2 linked regions of the Cricetulus griseus genome follow. Each later gene encodes a partner of the first gene's protein in a complex. Links are inferred from orthologs where the notes say so. Each region holds a gene or a part of one and is shown on either strand. Other genes may lie near its edges. The genes, in order: Cul3 and Kbtbd4.

What was found.
Region 2: Cul3 (region 1) and Kbtbd4 share a complex: the UniProt entries of both Homo sapiens proteins name them as parts of the BCR(KBTBD4) E3 ubiquitin ligase complex. The link is inferred for Cricetulus griseus from reciprocal best matches to the Homo sapiens genes CUL3 and KBTBD4.

What each region holds. Positions count from the first base shown.
Region 1 is NC_048595.1:432,984,462-433,000,337, reverse strand, and holds the start of Cul3 (cullin-3), read left to right. Parts: upstream 1-5,930; 5' UTR 5,931-6,058; coding exon 6,059-6,124; intron 6,125-15,876. UniProt on the Homo sapiens protein: Core component of multiple cullin-RING-based BCR (BTB-CUL3-RBX1) E3 ubiquitin-protein ligase complexes which mediate the ubiquitination and subsequent proteasomal degradation of target proteins.
Region 2 is NC_048599.1:85,853,347-85,857,407, reverse strand, and holds the start of Kbtbd4 (kelch repeat and BTB domain-containing protein 4), read left to right. Parts: upstream 1-1,261; 5' UTR 1,262-1,310; coding exon 1,311-1,386; intron 1,387-1,939; coding exon 1,940-2,557; intron 2,558-4,061. Other genes in the region: Ndufs3 (NADH dehydrogenase [ubiquinone] iron-sulfur protein 3, mitochondrial), read right to left, coding at 647-712, 810-873. UniProt on the Homo sapiens protein: Substrate-specific adapter of a BCR (BTB-CUL3-RBX1) E3 ubiquitin ligase complex which targets CoREST corepressor complex components RCOR1, KDM1A/LSD1 and HDAC2 for proteasomal degradation.

The sequences.
Region 1 (15,876 bases):
TTAGCTGTCATGAATGAAAGTGATACACAATATAATTGCCCCCTAGAGGCTTCTTTCGATGTTTACTGTTAAAATGCAATTGGTAAGAGAAAATTATTTTCCTTTGAAATAAAATCTTGTGCAGGCTAGCATGATGGTTCAACAGGTAAAAGAACACCTGCCACACAAGCCTGGTGACCTGAGTTCAAACCCCAGGATTCACACAAAGGTGAAGGAGCGAACTGGCTCACTAAGTTATCCTCTGATCTCCACACATTTCCCTTTAATAACATGGCATTGTACAATGCAGATATACATGCTGTTACCAGGCATTTGGGCAACCCCACGTCTAATGACCTGTAGTACTTATTAGGAAACAAAGAAGAAAGAAAATCTAGCTCTTTCGTGCAAGGAGCTGGGACTCTCTCTACATCTGTCTTCTAATCTGAAAAGCATACAACTTCCCTTACCATGGTCTTGGTCTGTTCAAAATCATTAACTTCTAATTGAATTGGTAGGTTGTGAGCTGATTTAATAACCAATATCTTTACAATCAAACATGTGTGTCTGTAGTGGTGATTACAGAGGCTTGGTTTCCTGGATACCCAGAAACTCATAGCCAAGAAGAGGCTATTATTCCCTTTTACAGGCTCTTCACACCTTATGGTGCTTTTTGCAGACTGGAATTTAGAAAAGGGGCTGGCACACCCAGCTGCCTGGCCTGACATGTCTGACTACACGTCCCCCGTGCGGATAATGGAAACGGGGCCACTGTTTCCCTGTGTCAGGACACTGTCAGCAGGAGTAGGAATAATAACTGTCAGGCATGCAAGATCTAGTGTGTTCCTATTGCAGTGTGCTTGCTCTGTTGGGAAGGTGGCTGCTTGCACAAAAGATAAGACCCTGAAAGGTCATCTTTTATTTGCAAGTCAGGGACTACCATGAGCCATTAGAATAGTCTACTGAAGTTTAGACGTTTTTTTCATATACATTTTGAGGATGCTGCTTCCCTGGAAAGAAAAAAAAATCTCTTGATTTCTGCACTGAAATATACAGGAAGTTATTGCTCAATTCAATTTGGGTTTGTGGTTTCTAATTTTGAGATGTAAAGAACTTTTATGTTCTGTGATGATGGGTCTCAACTCATTTATTCACACTAGAACTTCACATATATAGTAGCTGTTCAATAAATACTTGAGTAAATAAATGAACAAATAAATCAGCAAATTTTCTTTAAAACTGATTTACTTATTTTTATTTTATGTGCATTGGGGTTTTGCCTACATGTATGTCTGTGTGAAGGTGTGGGAGGTAGTGTTACAGGCAGTTGTAGGCTGTCATGTGGTTGCTGGGAATTGAACCAATGTCCTCTGAAAGAACAGCTAGTGCTCTTAACCGCTGACCCATCTCTCCAGCCCCAAATCAGTAAATTTCTTAATGTGATTCAGTTTGAAGCATTTTTGTTTTTTCTTGATGCTTAAAATCTAAGAAAACAGGCTGGGCAGTGATGGCACATGCCTTTAATCCCAGCAGAGGCAGGGAGATCTCTGTGAGTTTGAGACCAACCTGGTCTACAGAGCAAATTCCAGGACAGTCAGAGCTACACAGAGAAATCCTGTCTGGGGGTGGGGTGGGGTAGGGATCTAAGGAACAGTTGATAGCGATTCTTTTTTATGTTTTTTTGTCTTTTGTTTTTCGAGACAGAGTTTCTCTGTGGCATTGGAGGCTGTCCTGGAACTAGCTCTTGTAGACCAGGCTGGTCTCGAACTCACAGAGATCCGCCTGCCTCCGTCTCCCGAGTGGTGCCAGGTGTGCACCACCACTGCCCGGCGATAGTGATTCTTTTAAATGCACTTAGTTTTTGCTTAAGTAACACAAATATGAGATCTGTGTTTGTGAAACAAATGAAAGTGACTATATCACTTTACAATTGAATAGAGATAGGTCTTAAGTAGTTAATTCTTCTAGTCTGGCCTTTGGTATTTTCCCAAGTTCATGGAAAACTGAGAAAGGTTGATGTACTATTTTTCATAAGGCTAAATGAATCAACGTTCTTTATTCAAAACTTAAATCTTCGCAATTGCTGAGTCAAAATATTTCTTTTATTAAAATTATAGGGATGATTGTTCTTGTAAATTTTTTAATTTAATTAAGTTTTATTTAAAAAAAACCCCTGCAAATCATAAAAATACCACATCCATAGACTTGATGAACCTCTGTAGTTAGAATTGACATTCAAAATGGAAGCTGTGGAGCTTCATATTAAATTTTACACTTTTACTACTGCATATATTTTATGCACTTATTCACCACCAAAAGCAAAAAAAAAAAAAAAAAAAAAAAAAAAGCCCTCTATCGTCCTTCATAACTTGTATCTATCACCTACATTCAGTATTTCCTGATTCCTTCATATTCTGCCTTTCTTATTCTCATTCTTCATACCCACAAGTACATTTGTCTACATATTACATATAGTATTGCCTGGAGTCTCTTTATGAGAGGGAGCATGCAGTTTCTTTCTTTCTGATTTTGTGTGAGCCCACTTAACATCATACATTCTAAGTCCATCTAATTTCCTGCAAATTTAACTTCACTTTTGTTTGTTTGTTTGTTTGTTTGTTTGAGACAGGGCTTCTCTGTGCAGCCCTGACTGTCCTGGAACTCGTTCTTGTTCTTGTAGACCAGGCTCACAGAGATCCACCTGCCTCTGCCTCCCAAGTGCTGGGATTAAAGCGAGCGCCACCACTGCTCGATTTAACTTCACTTTTCAAGCTGAGTAGTGAAAACATAAAACTTCTGAGTCAGTTTTCTCCTTCCACCTACAGGCACTAGAGATCAAGCTCAGGTCCCCAGCTTGGTGGGTATCTGTCTAGCCATCTCGATCATCTGCTTGTTCCTGTTTATTTGACAAATTATAATTGATAGTCTTCTAAGGGCTCTCCAGTTTCCTGAAAAATGTTTTCCTGGTATGTGGTATCTGAGCTGCAGCCTGGCTTTCAGATATGACCCATTTTATAAACACATACCAGTATTTACTTATTTTGTAGGAACTAATATAACTTAGGCCATATTGAATAATATAGTAACAGCCAAAAAGTACTGCATGGCTGCTTGATGGCTATCACATTTTTAAAAGTTTTATTATTGTTGTGCATGTGAATATGTGGATGTTGACATGCCATGTCCTCTGTGTGTGTTTGTGTGTGTAGTCAGAAAAAACAAAAAACAAAAAACAAAAACCTTTGAGAGTTGGTTCTGTTTCATTTTTAACCTTTAGTTAGGCACCAGGCATAAACATCAGGTTCATCAAACTTGTGTAGGGCAAGTACATCTACTTCTTACTGCTGAGCCATCTGGTCAACTTTTTGATGGCTTTTAAAACGTATTCACTCACTCATTCAAATCTGATAGCAACCCAGGAAGAAATATTGTCTCCATTTCACGGATGAAGCCCTCCAGACAAAATAGCCAAATCCTTGCCCACAAAGAAATTTATTACACAGTTAATAAAGTGGCAGGACTTATCTGGTTGGTGGTGGCACACACCCCTAATCCCAGCACTGGGGAGGCAGAGGCAGGTGGATCTCTGGGAGTTTGAGGCCAGCCTGGTCTACCGAGAGAGTTCCTGGACAGCCAGAGATGTTACACACAGAACTCCTGTCTCAAAAGAACAAAACAAGTGGCAGAGCTTAGATTGAAACCAATGCCTACAGAACATATATTTAACTTTATTAAGAAACGGAGCTATGTGACAGAACAGCCAACAGAAAAGTTTTATATTGTGATAACTATGGAAATGAAGATCAATTAGCATGCAAATTATATACTCCTATCCACACTTATTATGTTTGTCAGAGCCTTTCCTAGTTTTAACTAACCCATTTTTTATTTTTAGCTTAGTGTAAGCAACATTCTCAAGCTTCTGTTTTGATTAGTAAATACAGATAAACATACATCACACACACACACACACACACACACACACACACACACACACACACACTTGGTTTTTTGAGACAGGGTTTTTCTGTATAACAGCCCTGGCTGTCCTGGAACTCACTTTGTAGACCAAGCTGGCTTTCGACTCACAGAGATCCTCATGCCTCTGTCTCCCTAGTGCTGGGATTAAAGGCCAGTGCCATCACACCTGGCTGTAAGCCTATTTTTTAAAGTTTATTTTTCATTGGGGGCATTTCCACGTAGGAGAGTCTGGAGCATAGCACTGTAAGCTTAGACATTACAAATAATTTAGGGCTAATGCAATCATAAATAAGCAAGCTTTACTAAGTTTTCTATTTTAAAAAGTTACTCAGACCTCAGCTTCCAAATGCAGATGCACATCACAACAGTTTATTCAAAAAATTAGAAACCTCAGGAGAAAGTCAGGTTTTCCCTGTGGAGATGGAAACAGCAATGAGTAAGTAGGTAGATTAGGAAGTTGGAGTCATACTAAATTAAAAGCAAAAGGCAGTCAAACTAGACAGTTCCACTATAGGATGATAAAAGAGTCCCAGAGCAAACAAAAAACGTTTCCAAATCTACAGCAAACTGAATTCCACGGTGGCTTTTGTTTTAATGGTCTGCACTGCTCTTGGTAATGGTACAAAAGATTTGTTTGGCAGGCGTCTATCATAATGTTTAACACAGACTATTAAGATATTGTAGTACGCAGGGCAGTGGTGGTGCACGACCTTAATCCCAGCATTCGGGAGGCAGAGGCAGGCGGATCTGTGAGTTCGGGACCAGCCTGGTCTCCAGAGCGAGTGCCAGGATAGGCTCCAAAGCTACACAGAGCAACCCTGTCTCGAACCCCGGCCTCCCCCCGACCCCCCAAAAAAAGGGGAATAAAAAAAGATGTGGTACATTAGGCACTCGTTTTATTTCGATACAAACAAAAACCGGTTTTCACATTAGTAGGTTCTGGATCCTCCAGAAAATACCAAATTTACCGACAAACCCAGGAGCTAGCGCAGTGCAAGCAAGGAAGCCTGGTCGCCTCAGTTGTGAGGCGTTGCAACACCTAGCTCGATATAGGACATCAGCTTCTCATTGGGCACAAACTCTGCTTCCAAGTTTCTGGCTGGGGCTCAAGTACCCATCCCTAGGCCACGTGCCCTAGAAAAACACAGCCACAGTTCGAGGACGTTGAGCCGCCCCACGGGCACCCACGCCCTTGCCTGGGACTACCTGCAAGGGGGCTCCGCCGGGCGGGCGGGCGGGGGCCACGGCGCTGAAAAATCCCAGCTTGGCTCCCGGAACTTCCCCCGCCCACTGCCCACGTGACACATCATCTTCGCCCTCCACCAATCAGCGGCCGCCCCCGCCTACCGGGGGTCTCGGACGCTCCTCTTTTGAAAAGGCAGCCCACGCCTCCTGGCCCCGGGCCCCGCCCCTTTCCCGCCCCCAGGACGCTGCCCGCTGTCATTCCTAGCTCCGCACCCTCCTCCGCGTCCCCGCCCCTTCCTCGCGCTCCCTCCCTCCCGCCCTCCCGGCTCCGACCCGCGCCCGCGCCGCCGGCCCCTCCCGCGCCGCGGCGCGGCGCGCGCCGCCCCGAATCTCGCCGAGAATCTGGAACGTTGCCGCAGGCCGCGCGCTTCCCGCTTCCCCTCCCGTCCTCCCGCCCCCTCCCCCCATCTCTCCACTCTCGGCTCTCCTCCCTCCCTCCTCCCCCCTCCACCCTCTGGGCCGGATCTCGTCTCGCTGAGGCGGAGGAGGAGAAGGAGGAGGAGGAGGACGTTCGGCCTGCGCAGTGAGATGTTTGTCCGTCGCCGCCGCCGCCGCCATCGCGGAGGAGCGCGATAAAGGGAGCCGAGCCCGGCGCGAGGGGAAGCCCGCGAGCCGCCGCGCCAGCGCAGCGCCGAGCCCGAGGCCGCCGGCCCGAGCCGCCGCCCGCCGCCGGCGCGGCCCCGCGCAGGGGCCGGCCCGCTGCCAGCCGCAGCCCGGGGGCCGCGCCGCCGCCCCCGCCGAGCCCGCGGCCGCCCTCCCGCCTTCAATGTGACACCGGCGCCTCGGAGTGCGAGCCGCCGCCGCAGCCGCCGCACCCGCACCCGCCGCCGCCACCGGGGAGGGGCCGAGCACCATGTCGAATCTGAGCAAAGGCACGGGCAGCCGGAAGGACACCAAGATGCGGATCCGGGCCTTTCCGGTGAGTCGGTCCTCGGCGCCCGGGACCCGGAGCCGCGGCCGGGAGCCGCACGCGAGGCCGGGGCTGAACTCCGCCAACAGGCCGCAGCCCGCCTCCCCTCACCCCACGGCCGCCGGTGGCGGGGCGCGAGCCTTCCAGGGCAAGCGGGCGGCGCGGGCCGGCGCGGTCGCCACCGGGCGCGAGCCGGGCCGTTCCTGACGCCCCGGTCGCCCCGGGGCCTCCTTCGCGCCGGCCTCGCTTGCCTCGGCCCGAAGGGGACGCGCGCTGCCGCCGCCGCAGCCCTCGCGTGGGGCGTGTGTGTGTGTGTGTGTTTGTGTGTGTGTGTGTGTGTGTGTGTGTGTAACTTTCAGCTGCTGGTTTCCAGAAGGAGCCGGCTGGGCTTGGACGGTGGTGGGGAGGACCGTCCGCCTCTGCCCCCTCCTCAGTCAGGAGCCGTCTTGCCGCCCGCCTGCCCCACTCACTGACAGAAATGCCCGGTGGCTAAAGAGCAGCAGCAGCACCGAGCCTAGTATTTATAGCATCTTTGATCCCGCAAGCCTCCTGAGCGCTTCACCAGACGCTCCGCTCCGAGGAGGGCCGGCCAGGCACAGAAGGAGCTGCACTCTCCTGCTTTTCCATCTCTTAGCCAGGGAAGTCCCCAAGAATAGTCGCCACGCAGGCTAGTTTTACCTTGTACGTTTCTTTTAGCGACAGCAAACGTTTTTCTCTTGAGAAACTTTTTTTTTTTTCTCTCTTGGCGTTGCGTTGAGTCATATAGGCTTGCGGTGTTTAGTAGATGGAGCCTAACTTCGGATGTCATGCCTCCATCAGACAGCCAGTGGCAGGCAATTAAAAGGTCCTGTTGTAACAGAGAAACTGGACATACTTGCTCATGTCGCTACAGTAACAGGTAAAAGTCAAACGGGCAAACCCGCAGTCGGGCAAGTCCTCTTAAAAGTAAAACCAAGGAAAGTTGTTGTTTTTCTCTTCTGAGGCTCATAAGCATTCTGTCGTGTGGGTACCCTTTGCAGTGAGGAAAGGAAAGACAGACAGACCACAGTGTTGCCCGAGTTGAGTAACTTTGTCCTGGAGAACTTGAGGGCCACTGAATTCTTAATGTCAAAAAGAAAAGTATACAACTGATGCAGAATTGTGAATTTGCAAGGAACATATTGAAACTTTTATGTAAATAAATGGGGCCTATGTAAACAGGGTGGGTACAATCAGGAGGAAGAAGTATTTTGATATTAATTACATTATGAACGATTTATTTTTACATCAGAAAGTGAGAAATGCTGGAAAGACAACACTGATAAAGTTCACTACTATGTTTTCCTTTGTAATTGGGCAGTGGCCTGGGTTTATGAATTTGAGTAATAAAATTTTCCTCCTGAATCCACCATCCAGGTGATTGTCAAGTCTGATCCCTCCCCCCCCTTCTATTTTTTGGGGTGTGTGTGTCTTTTAATGAAATCGTGACACTGGTTTTCTAGGAAATGTTTGCTCTTGGTGCTGTTCTTTCTTGAAGTCTTTGTTTGGTGAGATGTGGAAGACCTCCTCTCTGACAAGTTGTATTCTGTCTATCTGTGCTTGCACCTCTTTGACCTCCTCCTCTCCCTGCTAGCACCTGTTTTCCTCTCCCATCCCTTCATTGCTCCAAGATACACTGAGTGCTGTATGCAGGTACTGTTCCTGGAGCTTTAGGATTTATCAGTAGATGTGTAAAGGCAAAGATCTTTGTTTTCTGGAGCTAGTATTAGGGATTAAAAGCAGGAGAGAATTTTATTCCATTAGCTGAAGATGATAATAGTGTTTGATAGGTTAGCTAATACATAGTACGGGAACAGAGATTTGTTTTGTGTTTTCGTTTTTTTCCTAGTTCATAAGTATAAATAACAGTCAAGGTAGTTCCCATTGAAAATAATCAGCCATTGTTGGGGGTAGATAAGGCTCCAGTGATATTTCATTGACTTCTGGGAATCAGGTCCTTAGACTGTCAGACTTTCATCCAGATTAGTGGTCTTGTCTAAAACTACAGCCCACATCAACTGCTACTCAGAAGTTATAAATAGTATTTCACACACACAAAAATACCACTTATGCTTATGTGTGTATATTCCTACAACTGGTGTATGTTACACTATGTGGATATATAGTTAGCTGTAACTTATGGCAAACCGTAGGTTAATGAAAAATTTCAGTTGCTCATTTCAGGGTCGTCCCCCCCCCAAAAAAAATTGATATGTAAAAGGAATGAGTGAGTTTGGATTTGTTTCATTTTCACTGTACAGTAGTGGTGAGTTACCTTACAGAATATTTCATATATACGAGAGTATTGCAGATAAAATTTTACCAAACAGGTTCTCTTTGTATTTTTAGTGTATATTTTAAGTTTGTTTTCACATTATTCAGCAGAGTGAAAGTTACACTACACTAGCTTAATGCACAGCTTGAATTTTTTCTGCCCCCACCCCCAGTTTACATTTTTAAGTAAACTTACAAAATTTAAGATTAAGAATTTCTGTACTTGAACTGTTAACAGAAAAAATTGTTGATTTAATTTTTAGACTTACTTTTATTATATAGACTATAGTTTATTTTACATCTTTTTGTTGGTAAATTTTTTAAAGTTTTTTTTTTGTTGTTTTGTTTTGTTTTTTGTGAGGTGTGTGTGGGTCTGTGCATTTTGAGTGTAGGTGCCAGCAGAAGGCAGAGGAGTCAGACTCCTTGGAGCTGTCCCGTTCTACCTGCGGGTGCTGGGAATCAGTGATGGTCTTCTGCAAAATCATTAGGCACTTTTAACCACTGAGCTACTGCTCTAGCCCCCGTTGATAATATTTCATTAAGAAAAAAAGCACACAAAATATCAGCTGGGGCTACAGAGCGTGATTATTACAAAGAGGGGACATTACATATGGATTTGGGCCAAGTAATTCCACTGGAAGAGATTAATTTTTTCCTTGCTGTTTCCATGTGTCTTCACTTGTATGTTGTCTACCCTGTATATACTCTTTTGGGTTAACATTTCTCTGAAAAACCATTCCTCTCTGTCTGGTCCAGAATTTTGTTCAAATGGGCAGGCATGGTTGGACTTGGAGGTGTGATTCTTGAGTGAAAATACTGTCCTCTGTCATTTGCCATTCTTGGCTTCACTTAGATTAGGAGACACTGAAAGTAACTCCTATGATGTGACCTGTCGCTCTACAAAGCTCCCAGCAGTGCACACTCTGTAACTGCTGAGTCAGCGCTCTTGCTCCAGTTTGCATATAATAGCAGTTCAGAAGAGTTGGGAAAATTAGTACTCAAAGTGAATTTTATTGTTTGTTTATTTGTGTATGAGGGAGAAAATGGTATCAGTTATTTAAGTGTGGAATGTGTGTATGTGTGTGTGTGGTGTGGGCATATGTGTCTGGGTATATTTGAGGCCAGAGGATTTTTGGGTGTCCTTGTCTATCATTACCTTATTCCCTTGTGATATGTTCTCTCACTGAACCTGAAGATGGGCTGGCAGCCAGTAAGTCAGTCCCAGGGATCCTCATGTTTTTGCCTTTCCATAGAGCTGGGGTTACAGATACTCATTCACACAACTGTGCTCAGATTTTGAGTTCATATCCTTATGCAGCAAGTATGCTTGAACCAAATAATCTCTACAGCCCCACGAATTTTAAAGCCTATTTTTACATAGTAGCATAGTCAATAATGTAAAATTTGGCCCTTTCTTTCCGTACAAGTACATTGACTAGGAAGTTGAATCATTCACATAAAATAGTCATTTGTTTGGTTATGTTTCATTCATTAAATGTAGCTTAGTGGTAGCAGTAATAACGTTTGTCCAGTGCAGGAAGAGTATAGGATTTTGACTAGAAATATTGTCATTTTTCTTTATATTATAAATATGGAGAACTTACAACAGATTTTTTTGTTACTTCTCCTTCAGGATTCTCAGAAGGGTAGTAGATAGACATTGGATGAATAGTTAATTTATGGTTTTTCAAGACAAGGTTTCTCTGTAGCTTTTGGAACTTGTCCTGGAACTCTGTAGACCAGGCTGGCCTCAAACTTAATGAGATTCGCCTGCCTCTGCCTCCTGAGTGCTGGGATTAGAGGTGTTTGTTTGCCTGTCCTAAAATGAACCCAAAAGTATTAACACTAAGAATCATTGAGGTAAAATATGGTATGTAATTCATAGATGTATTATGGTTTGACAGTTGACTTTCTAATCATGAAAGTGATATAGGCCAATGATAGAAAATTTGATAAAATATCCATGCTTAAATTTCCAATAAGCTGGGAGGTGGTTTACTCCTTTAAATTCATAGCACTATTTTATGGTGGATCATGCCTTTAATCCCATTACTGGGAGGCAGAGGGCAGGTGGATCTCTGTGAGTTCAAGGCCAGCCTGCTCTACAGAACTAGTTCCAGGACAGGTCAGGCTGTTAAACAGAGAAACCCTGTCTTTGGAAAAAAAAAACAAAGAGAGAGTAAACAAAACAATTGCAATAATCTTACCACCTGGAAATAAAGAATATTAACATTTGGATGTGTTTCTTTAACGTTTCATATCCCTGTGTGATTTCATAGCCCAGTTGAGTCTTTTGTGTGTGTGTGTGTGGTTTTTTTTTTGAGACAGGGTTTCTCTGTGGCTTTAGAGGCTATCCTGGAAGTAGCCAGGCTGCTCTCAAACTCACAGAGATCCTCCTGCCTCTGCCCCCCCACCCCCGCTGGGATTAAAGGCTTGCACCATCACAGCCAGGCCCTGTACTCATTTTTAATAATGGTTTCTTACAGTGCATATGGGTAGATTTTGGAAAACATTTTGTCACTGGTACTTTATAATTCCCACATTTACTTTATTGTTCACCTACTGTCAGGAATTTTGACTGACTCTAGGAATTTTTTTTTTCTCTGTACAGAATGCAGCTTAGACTCTGCATAATCCATTCTAGAATTACTGAGCTGAATAGAGTTCGCGTATATTATATAATGACTATCAAGAGAGGTGGAAATATAGCTAAAACTTGTTGAATGCTAGTTCCAGGACAGGCTCCAGAGCTACAGAGAAACCATGTCTCAAAAAGCCCCCCCCATCATAAAAGTAGCAAAATTACAGTTTTAAAGTAGTAATGAGAAGTAATTTTGTAGTTGAGGGTCACCACAACATGAGGAACTGTATTAAAAAGAGTTATAGCATTAGGGAGGTTGAGAATTACTGTTCTATACCATCTTAGTGTTATCTGTTTTACAGGTGAGGGCTTGAGAGTTCAGTTTGCTTGAGGTTAGTGTGTAAATATGAGAACCAGGTTATAACTGGTCCTGTGTGAATGTGAATAGGAAGTATACACTTCAAGGTTGTTTGACATCTTTGAATCTTGGCCAGATACATCTTTGTTATTTATTAATAGGTTAAAAAATAGTAGTTGAGGTGGACTTTGGGGAGCCCCTGTCAAGGGCCCTACCTTGCCTGGGGAGTGGAGGGTGGATGGGATGGTGGAGGGTAGGTCGGGAGGGGAGGGAGAGGGAGAAGGGATTGACATGTGAAACAAGCTTGTTCCTAATTTGAACTAATAAAAAATTACAAAAAAGTAGTAGTTGAATATCTTTTGTTTATTATTAGTAAGGATAAAACTATGGGTAGATCCTGGGGAACTTTTAGTTTTGGAGCATTCAACATATGTGTTAGTTGTGTAGCTAAAATTTAAAGAGGCTGAGAGAGTAGTAGTTAGAGTGTGGGCTAAAACAGCAGGTCCACATTATAACTTGTACTGCCTCCTAAATTAGCCTCACTTTTCTGTATAAAATGAGAATACTAAAAGGACCTGCCTTACCATTTTGTGTGATAAAGTAAAGCTTAGAATTTAGTTAGCACACAGTTAACTATAATTATGTCAATAGTGAGTCATGATTTTACCAAAATTTGAATATTAAAATTCTGATATTTTTTTGTAGGTAGATTGAAGTTCTGCATACTTATTTAGTGCTGTGCTCTCCCTCCCTATTTTATACAAGCTCTAGCTTAGTATTTCTGAAAGCCCACAGAACCAATTTGTGAAGCACCCAAGAATGCAGTCTGAAGAATATAGGGTTGGTACCTCTGGGGTTCTGTATAGGAATGCTACTGGCTCTTGGGGTATGGCTTCAAGAGAGAGTTTTCAGTAGTCATTCCTGCACAATTAGATAAACACTCTATGCTATGTGTATAATACCCTAACATGTTTAAGTAAATGTTCATCAGTTCTAAAGCAGCATTTCTCAACCTGTGGGTCTTGACCCTTTTGAGGGTCAAGCAACCTTTTCACAGGGGTTCACCTAAGACCATCTGCATATCAGATATTTACTTTAAGATTCATAGCAGTAGTAAAATTAATTATGAAGTACCAGCGAAAATAATTTTATGGTTGGGAGTTACCACAATATGAGGAACTGTGTTAAAGGACCATAGCATTAGGAAGGTTGAGAACTACAGATCTAAAACTACTTACTATTTTGTTGTTGTTGTTGTATTTGTTTTAATTATCTCCTGTCTTCCTCATTTTTGGTATTGATTCTCAGATTTCCCAGTGCTCACCCAGACGGCTTTTTTTTTTTTTTTTTTTTTTTTTTTTTTTTTTTTTTTTGCCTTCATTGCTCATGTTTTCTAGGCTGTGGTGTACCGAAGAAAATTGAAAGACAGTGTCACTAACTTAGACCCATTTCATATGTGTGTCTAGCTAGTGCATTTCTCAACTTTCCTACTCAGCTGTTTTATTTTTATTTTATTTTATTTTATTGCCTGCATGTATGAGGGTGTTGAATCCCCTGAAACTGGAGTTACAGACAGCTGTGAGCTAGCATTGTAGGTGCTGGGAATTGAACCCAGTTCAATATTTTTAACTGTTAAGCCATCTCTCCAGCTTCAGAATTTTAATCACTGCACTTAAAACTGTTTATTAAGAATTCTCAGCTGGGCGTGGTGGCACATACCTTTAATCCTAGCACACAGGAGGCAGATGGAGGTGGATCTCTGAGAGTTCAGGCCAGCCTGGTCTCCAGAGTGAGTTCCAGGCCAATCAAGGCTGTTAAACAGAGAAACCCTGCCTCGAACCCCCCAAAGGAATTCTCTTACCTCTCTTCAAGAAACTAACAATTGTCCCCTCCCCAGGAAAACCAGTGTCAGGAGATAGAAGTTCTTCAGCAATCTTTCTATTCATTTACACTCTTGAACATGTATCATTACTCAGCTCTTGGCTTCTGTTGTGAGAAGCAAGAAACTTTTTCTTCTTCATTACCAATTTCATTTTGTTTTCATGGCCAAGATTCCTGATAGAATGATCTATATCTCTTTATTTAGGAGTTTAATTTTCTTTTAGGGGAAGCATCAAGTCTTTATGAATTGATTTTCATCAGTCTAGTTATACTAGTACACAACATAGAATAGGCAGTATTCAGTAAATGAAATAATACAATGTTCTTTCCTTAGTCCGTTTTTTTCACATAAAATGACACACTGAAGGACAGTTTTTCACAGATTCTAATTATAAGGAGTAAATCAGAGTATAAAACTTTCTAATAGTGGTGTAACTAGGATATTTTAAAGAAAGTTGCTAATTGTAGAGCCAGAATTTTCATTTAAAAAATGTTTAGAGTGTGCTGTAGGGTAGTCACAGTCACAGATTGTAGAGGACTGGAGGGCTTGCAGTAGAAGGGTATCCTCAGAGTTGTCCTCTATGGTCATTTAGAGCTGCTTCTCTATTGCCATTAGTAGGGGATTCATTTAAAAAGGTTAGCCATTGCCTTAACATCACTAATCACCAGCCTAATAAACAGGGCCATACTTGCCTAACTAGATAATAATAATAGGAAATTGAGAACTAGTCTTGTAGTTGTCTTAACTAGCCCATAGTTTTTGCTATTGGAAATTATGCCTTTTAATCTTTTAAAGCCAACTAAAATTGAAGTAATTAAGTAAAACTTGTTGATTTGGCTTGTATACATTTAAGACTTAGAATCTAGAGAAAGGGGGGAGGACATACTTTGTTTTTTAAATGAAAAATGTTACTGCTGAGCAAGTGAACAAAACTTCAAAGGGGATCTTTACCTTCTTTGGAAAACACAAGATTTCTTGGAGATATTCTTCTAAAACATCAAGGCAGCATCACCAAGAGGGATTCTTTAACACTCTGCTTGCAAGTTATTCTTTAAAGTAGCTCTTGATGAACTGTTAGCCTCTGATACCTATGTATCCTTTCTAAGTAATGAACATTGTTTTCCTCTTTATATCCACTTACTTTCCATCTCCAACAAAGAAAAGCCACTTTATGAGATTAGCACACTGCTAAGGGTGGAACACCTACTTTATTCTGGATTTTGTTTTAAATATTTTGACTGATCTCAAATCCAAAAAACAAGTTTTAGTTGACAGTCTTTTTCCTCATGCTTTAAATGTTCTTGAGAGTTCTGAGACATCCACTAATAGTATGTAATATTACATAAACACATAGAAAAGGGTAGAGTCATTTTCCATTAAACTACCAGAACTGTCCAGCCTTTGAACATTGATTGCTACATGGCATTGTCAAATATAGAAGTACTGGGTCATATTCATAGTTATCTGAGCATGCCTACATGCATGCAACTCATGGGACACAGGTTGATCTTGCGTGTTATACTACATACTTACATTGTTAAGTGTTTTTCTAGTTTGTGGAATAATACGCTTTCTTAATAGATATATATTGAAAAAACAATTCTAAAGTGGTTTAAATTATTGCCTAAATAGCTGGGTGGTGGTGGCACATGTCGTTAATCCTAGCACGTCAGAGGCAGAGGCATGCAGATCTCTGTGAGTTCCAAGACAGCCAGGACTACATAGAGAAACCCCGTCCCAAGACCCAAACCAAAATAAAATTATTGACTGGTGACAGATCTGAGAGCCATGGGGCTTAGTACAGTGTATTCGGCTCAATGCAGTGTATCTTAAGTATGTACTTAAAAAGACTATTCCTTGAAGTTAACATGTTTAATTACTTCTGAAAAATGAGAGTATACTAAAGTACTGAACACTGAAGGTTGTGTGTGTGTGTTTATTAACACGTGCATGTGTGTATGCATTCTTATGGAATGCTAGGGTCCAAGTTCTGTGTCTTCAGTTTCTTTTCCACTTTATTTTTTGAGACAGACTGTCTTGGTTAGGGCTACTATTGCTGTGATGAAATGCTGTGGCCAAAGCAATTGGGGGAGGAAAGGGTTTGTTTGACTTAAACTTTCATATCAGCGTTCATCATCAAAGGAAGTCAGAACAGGAACTCAAACAAAGCTGAGCATGACCCCGGAAGCAGGAGCTGATGAAGAAGCCATGGAGGGTTGCTCCTCATGATTTGCTCAGCCTACTTTTTTACAGAACCCAAGACCACCACCAGCCCAGGGATAGTACCCAGAGTGGGCTGGGCCCTCCCACATCAAACATGCCTACCACCCGATTTTATGGCGATATTTTCTCAACTGAGGATCCCTCCTCTCTGATGACTCTATCTTATATCAGGTTGACATAAAATAGCCAGTACACAGGCACTCTCACTGAACCTGGAGCTCATTGACTAAGCTGTATTGATTGTCCAGAGAGCTCCAGAGATACTTATGTCTCTACTGTCCTAGTACTGGGGTTCAGGTATGCATCACAATGCACAGAATTTTTTACATGGGTGCTGGGGACCCAGACTTAGGTCCTCATACATTTTATGGACTGAGTCATCTCCCTAGTTCCTAATTTTAAAAAGCTAGGTAGGACTGCTTTAG
Region 2 (4,061 bases), on another chromosome or scaffold:
GTTATCTATAGGAAGATTGATGTCCAGAAATGGAAGAAAGCCAGGCCTTCAATTTCCCAGCTTGATTCTGTTGACTGACCATAAAATCACATGATCGCTCAATTAATTACTTGAGCACCCACACATCAGGCAAAGAGTTACTAAGTATTTACCGAAGACCTGTTTTGTCGTTCAGTGGACCCGTGACTGAAACATTTAATTATGTAGACTGCTTCATGATCTATAGTACTGTCAATAAAGTACTATGCATCTCATGTGGCTGTTATTAAGTCCAAAGGAAATTATTTACTGTATGGTTTAAAGCCTTACGGTGCCTAATAAGTACTAGATTGGTGTGAGCTGCTATATTTCTGTTCTTCTGGTCTCAAAAGTTTTGTTACCTGCTCTCAAAGAGCTGACAATTTAATCGGAGGGAGGGGGGAATCATGAAAACGAGCAAAGAGCGATCAAGATCAGAAGGGAACAAATATCTAGGGCACAGGAAGTACTCGATTCTACCAGCCAAGTGGAGACCACAGCAATCTCCAAGGACAAGCAGAGATTTGCCAAGAGGGAAGGGCATTCCAGGGCAAGGACAAACATCTGACCGAACAATGAAAAGCTCCTGCTAACGTCGGGGAGAAGAGCGAGGTCCGCACATACTCACGGCGCGTGTCAGCCGCCGCGCTCTCCCTCCTCACCCGTTGCAACAGCGCTGAGGGTCGCCCAGTCCCTGCGCAGAGAGATAAAAGGCCAAAGGCGCGGGTGAGACCAGAGAGGTCTCCGTGTTAGGCGCGCCTCTGCCGCTGCCCTTGCTGTCCCTTGCTCACCCCTGGCTACGGAAGCAGCCCCCACGAGCCCACGCCACCAGACTCTGGCTGCGGCGGCCGCCATGTTCCTTGGGTGCCTGTCGACAAACTACCCGAAGGAGCACACACAGGCCACGGAGCCCCAAGGGCACGGACCGGAAGTGGAAATGTGCAATGAATCTTCTTCCGGGCAGACGCGGGGCGGGAAGCAGAGGTTCCGGATCTGGGCACTGGCATGAAAGGAGGTAACGCAGGTAAGAAAGACCCGAAGGTGGGAAAACCGTGAGGTGTACGTAGCCCTAACTCGGTACAGCGGAGGCCGAAGAGAAGCAGCTGCAAAGAATCGGACGGGTGAGAGAAGGGGAAAGAAAGGGTGGGCGTTCTGGGTTCTAAGTTCCACACCGCTCCCCGGCTCCAGAGCCAAGGCTTTTGATGAGGGAGGGTGGCGGGGAGAGGACGGACGGTTTCCTTGGAGACCGTTTCCTAGGCGACTCTAGGTGGCGCGGTCGGATTGCACAGGTTATGGACTTCCTTGTGCCCCCGGCCGGGGACGGCTGGGCTCTCTTGAGCTTCTTTAGGAGCTCACTGGGGCGAGTGGGTAAGTAGAGAACAGCCGCTCAGAAAAGAGCAAGGGTGGAAGTAATGGATGTCCAGGCCCAGGCCTCGTATCGGTGGGTCTGCACGCTTATGTCCAGGCAAGAAAGGAATCTAGCCACAATAACTGGTTGCCTTGCCTTATTTACTTTCTTCTTCTTTTTTTGGTTTAATTATGCTTCTCCTGAGTCTCACTAGTTATATATCCAAATTATTTGATTAGTAAATCTTTTAAGATCATAGGCTTCCTCCTTCTCCACTTTCACCAGATGACCAAAGTCACAAGTCTTTTGTTACATCATCAGGAATGTCTGCTTTTCCCTCAAGGAAAAACAGCAGAGATAGAACTTTAATTGATCTCATTGGAGGAGAGACCCCACTGCAGGAAAACTTTGGGTGAAGGAATGTCATAGACCATGTTGGCAATGCCAGGGATAAGGCCAGTCTGGACCCATTTTGCTCCTATTTCCCCCTTCTCCCTATCCTGAGTTGGACAGTTGGAGGCATGGACAGTGTCTGTGAATTACTCAAATACTTAGGGTGGTATTGTTTTGCAGATAGGTGGCAGAGAGAGAAGTTGGCTACCATGGAGTCACCAGAGGAGCCTGGAGCATCCATGGATGAAAACTACTTTGTGAACTATACTTTCAAAGACCGATCTCACTCAGGCCGAGTGGCTCAAGGCATTATGAAACTGTGTTTAGAGGAGGAGCTATTTGCTGATGTTACCATCTCAGTGGAAGGCCGAGAGTTTCAGCTCCACCGGCTGGTCCTGTCAGCCCAGAGCTGCTTCTTCCGGTCCATGTTCACTTCTAACCTGAAGGAGGCTCACAACCGGGTGATTGTGCTGCAAGATGTCAGTGAGTCTGTTTTCCAGCTCCTGGTTGATTATATTTACCACGGGACTGTGAAGCTTCGAGCTGAAGAGCTGCAGGAGATTTATGAGGTGTCAGACATGTATCAGCTGACATCGCTCTTTGAGGAATGTTCTCGGTTTCTCGCACGCACAGTACAAGTGGGAAACTGCCTTCAGGTGATGTGGCTTGCAGATAGGCACAGTGATCCTGAGCTCTACACTGCTGCCAAACACTGTGCCAAGACTCACCTGGCCCAGCTGCAGAGCACAGAGGAGTTTCTCCACTTGCCCCACCATCTCCTCACTGACATCATCTCAGGTCGGTTTGTGGAGGGGCTTATCATACCCAACTATGCAAGAGTAATTTTCAGTGGGTATTCTGGCTCAGGAGGACTCGCAAGATTATGTAACTAACTGTTGTTAACTTTATATTATCATTTCTGGTAGAGATTTAGATTGAGGTTGAGAATCAGGGTAGCTGCTGTAAGAGACAGAGTGCCTTACAGAAAAAGCTGAAGAACAAAAAGCTGTATCACTTTTCAACAAAAGGAAGTAAGAGGTGCCTCATGTTTTCATCTGCCCCGTACCTACAGGATTATTTATTTAAACAAATTGATATAGATGATAAGTCAAGCTATCTAAAATAGGAAACATTTGGGTACAATTATTTAGGTAACAGTTCTGCCCTGGCAGGTGAGGTGGGACTGTACTTGAGATGTGTGCTCTGTAGCCTGATAGGTGACTTCTGTAGCATGTGGGAGCAAATTATGCCATCCACTTTTCTTTTAAAAAGCAAGCCAGGGCTAGTGGTGTAACTTGGTCATAGAGCATTTCCCTGGTGTACATGAGACCCTGTGTTTGATCCCAACACTGCAAAATGTTAGTGGTGGAGTAGTTTCAAGTTAACTTCATACGTATGTAATTGGATACATGCATAAACAAATACATATAATAGTGGTCAAATAAAGTGACTCAGGTCTTTGTTTTTTGGTTTTTTTTGAGACAGGGTCTCTTTACATAGCCATGGCTTTCCTTTCACTCACCATGTAGATCATGCTGGCTTTGAACTCACAGAGATATCTGTGCCTCCCAAGTGCAAGGATTTAACGCATTTGCTACTATGCCCAGCTGTGATTCCTCTTGAGAGCCCATTAAGATGGTCATTGATGCCAGGTGGTGGTGGCGGCTGCGGTGGCGCACGCCTTTAGTCCCAGTACTCAGGAGGCAGAGGCAGGTGGATCTCTGTGAGTTCTAGACCATCCTGGTCTACAAGAGCTAGTTTCAGGACAGCCTCCAAAGCCACAGAGAAACCCTGTCTCGAAAAACAAAACAAACAAACAAAAAAGATTGTCATTGATGAAGCTGGACAGAGGGCTCAGCAGTTAAGAGCACTTGTTGTCCTTGCACTTGTTACTCTTACAGAGGACTGTGGTTCAGTTCCCAGAATCCACATGGTGGCTCACAACCGTCAGTACCTCCACTTCTAGGGCATCTGATGCTATCTTCTGATCATGGGTACCAGGCATGCATATGGTACAAAGACATGTGCTGGCAAAACATGTCAAATATTTTTTAATGAAGGGCAGTAGTGGCGCACACTTTTAATCCCAACATTCGGGAGGCAGAGGCAGGCAGATCTATGTGAGTTTGAGGCCAGGATGGTCTACAGAATGAGTGCCAGGAAAAACCAAAACATACAAAAATAATGAGCTGGATAGATGGCTCCATGGTTAAGAGCACTGGTTGCTCTTCTGAAGGACTCAAGTTCAATTCCCAGCACCCATATGGCAGCTTACAACTGTCTCTAACCCTGTTCCAGGGCT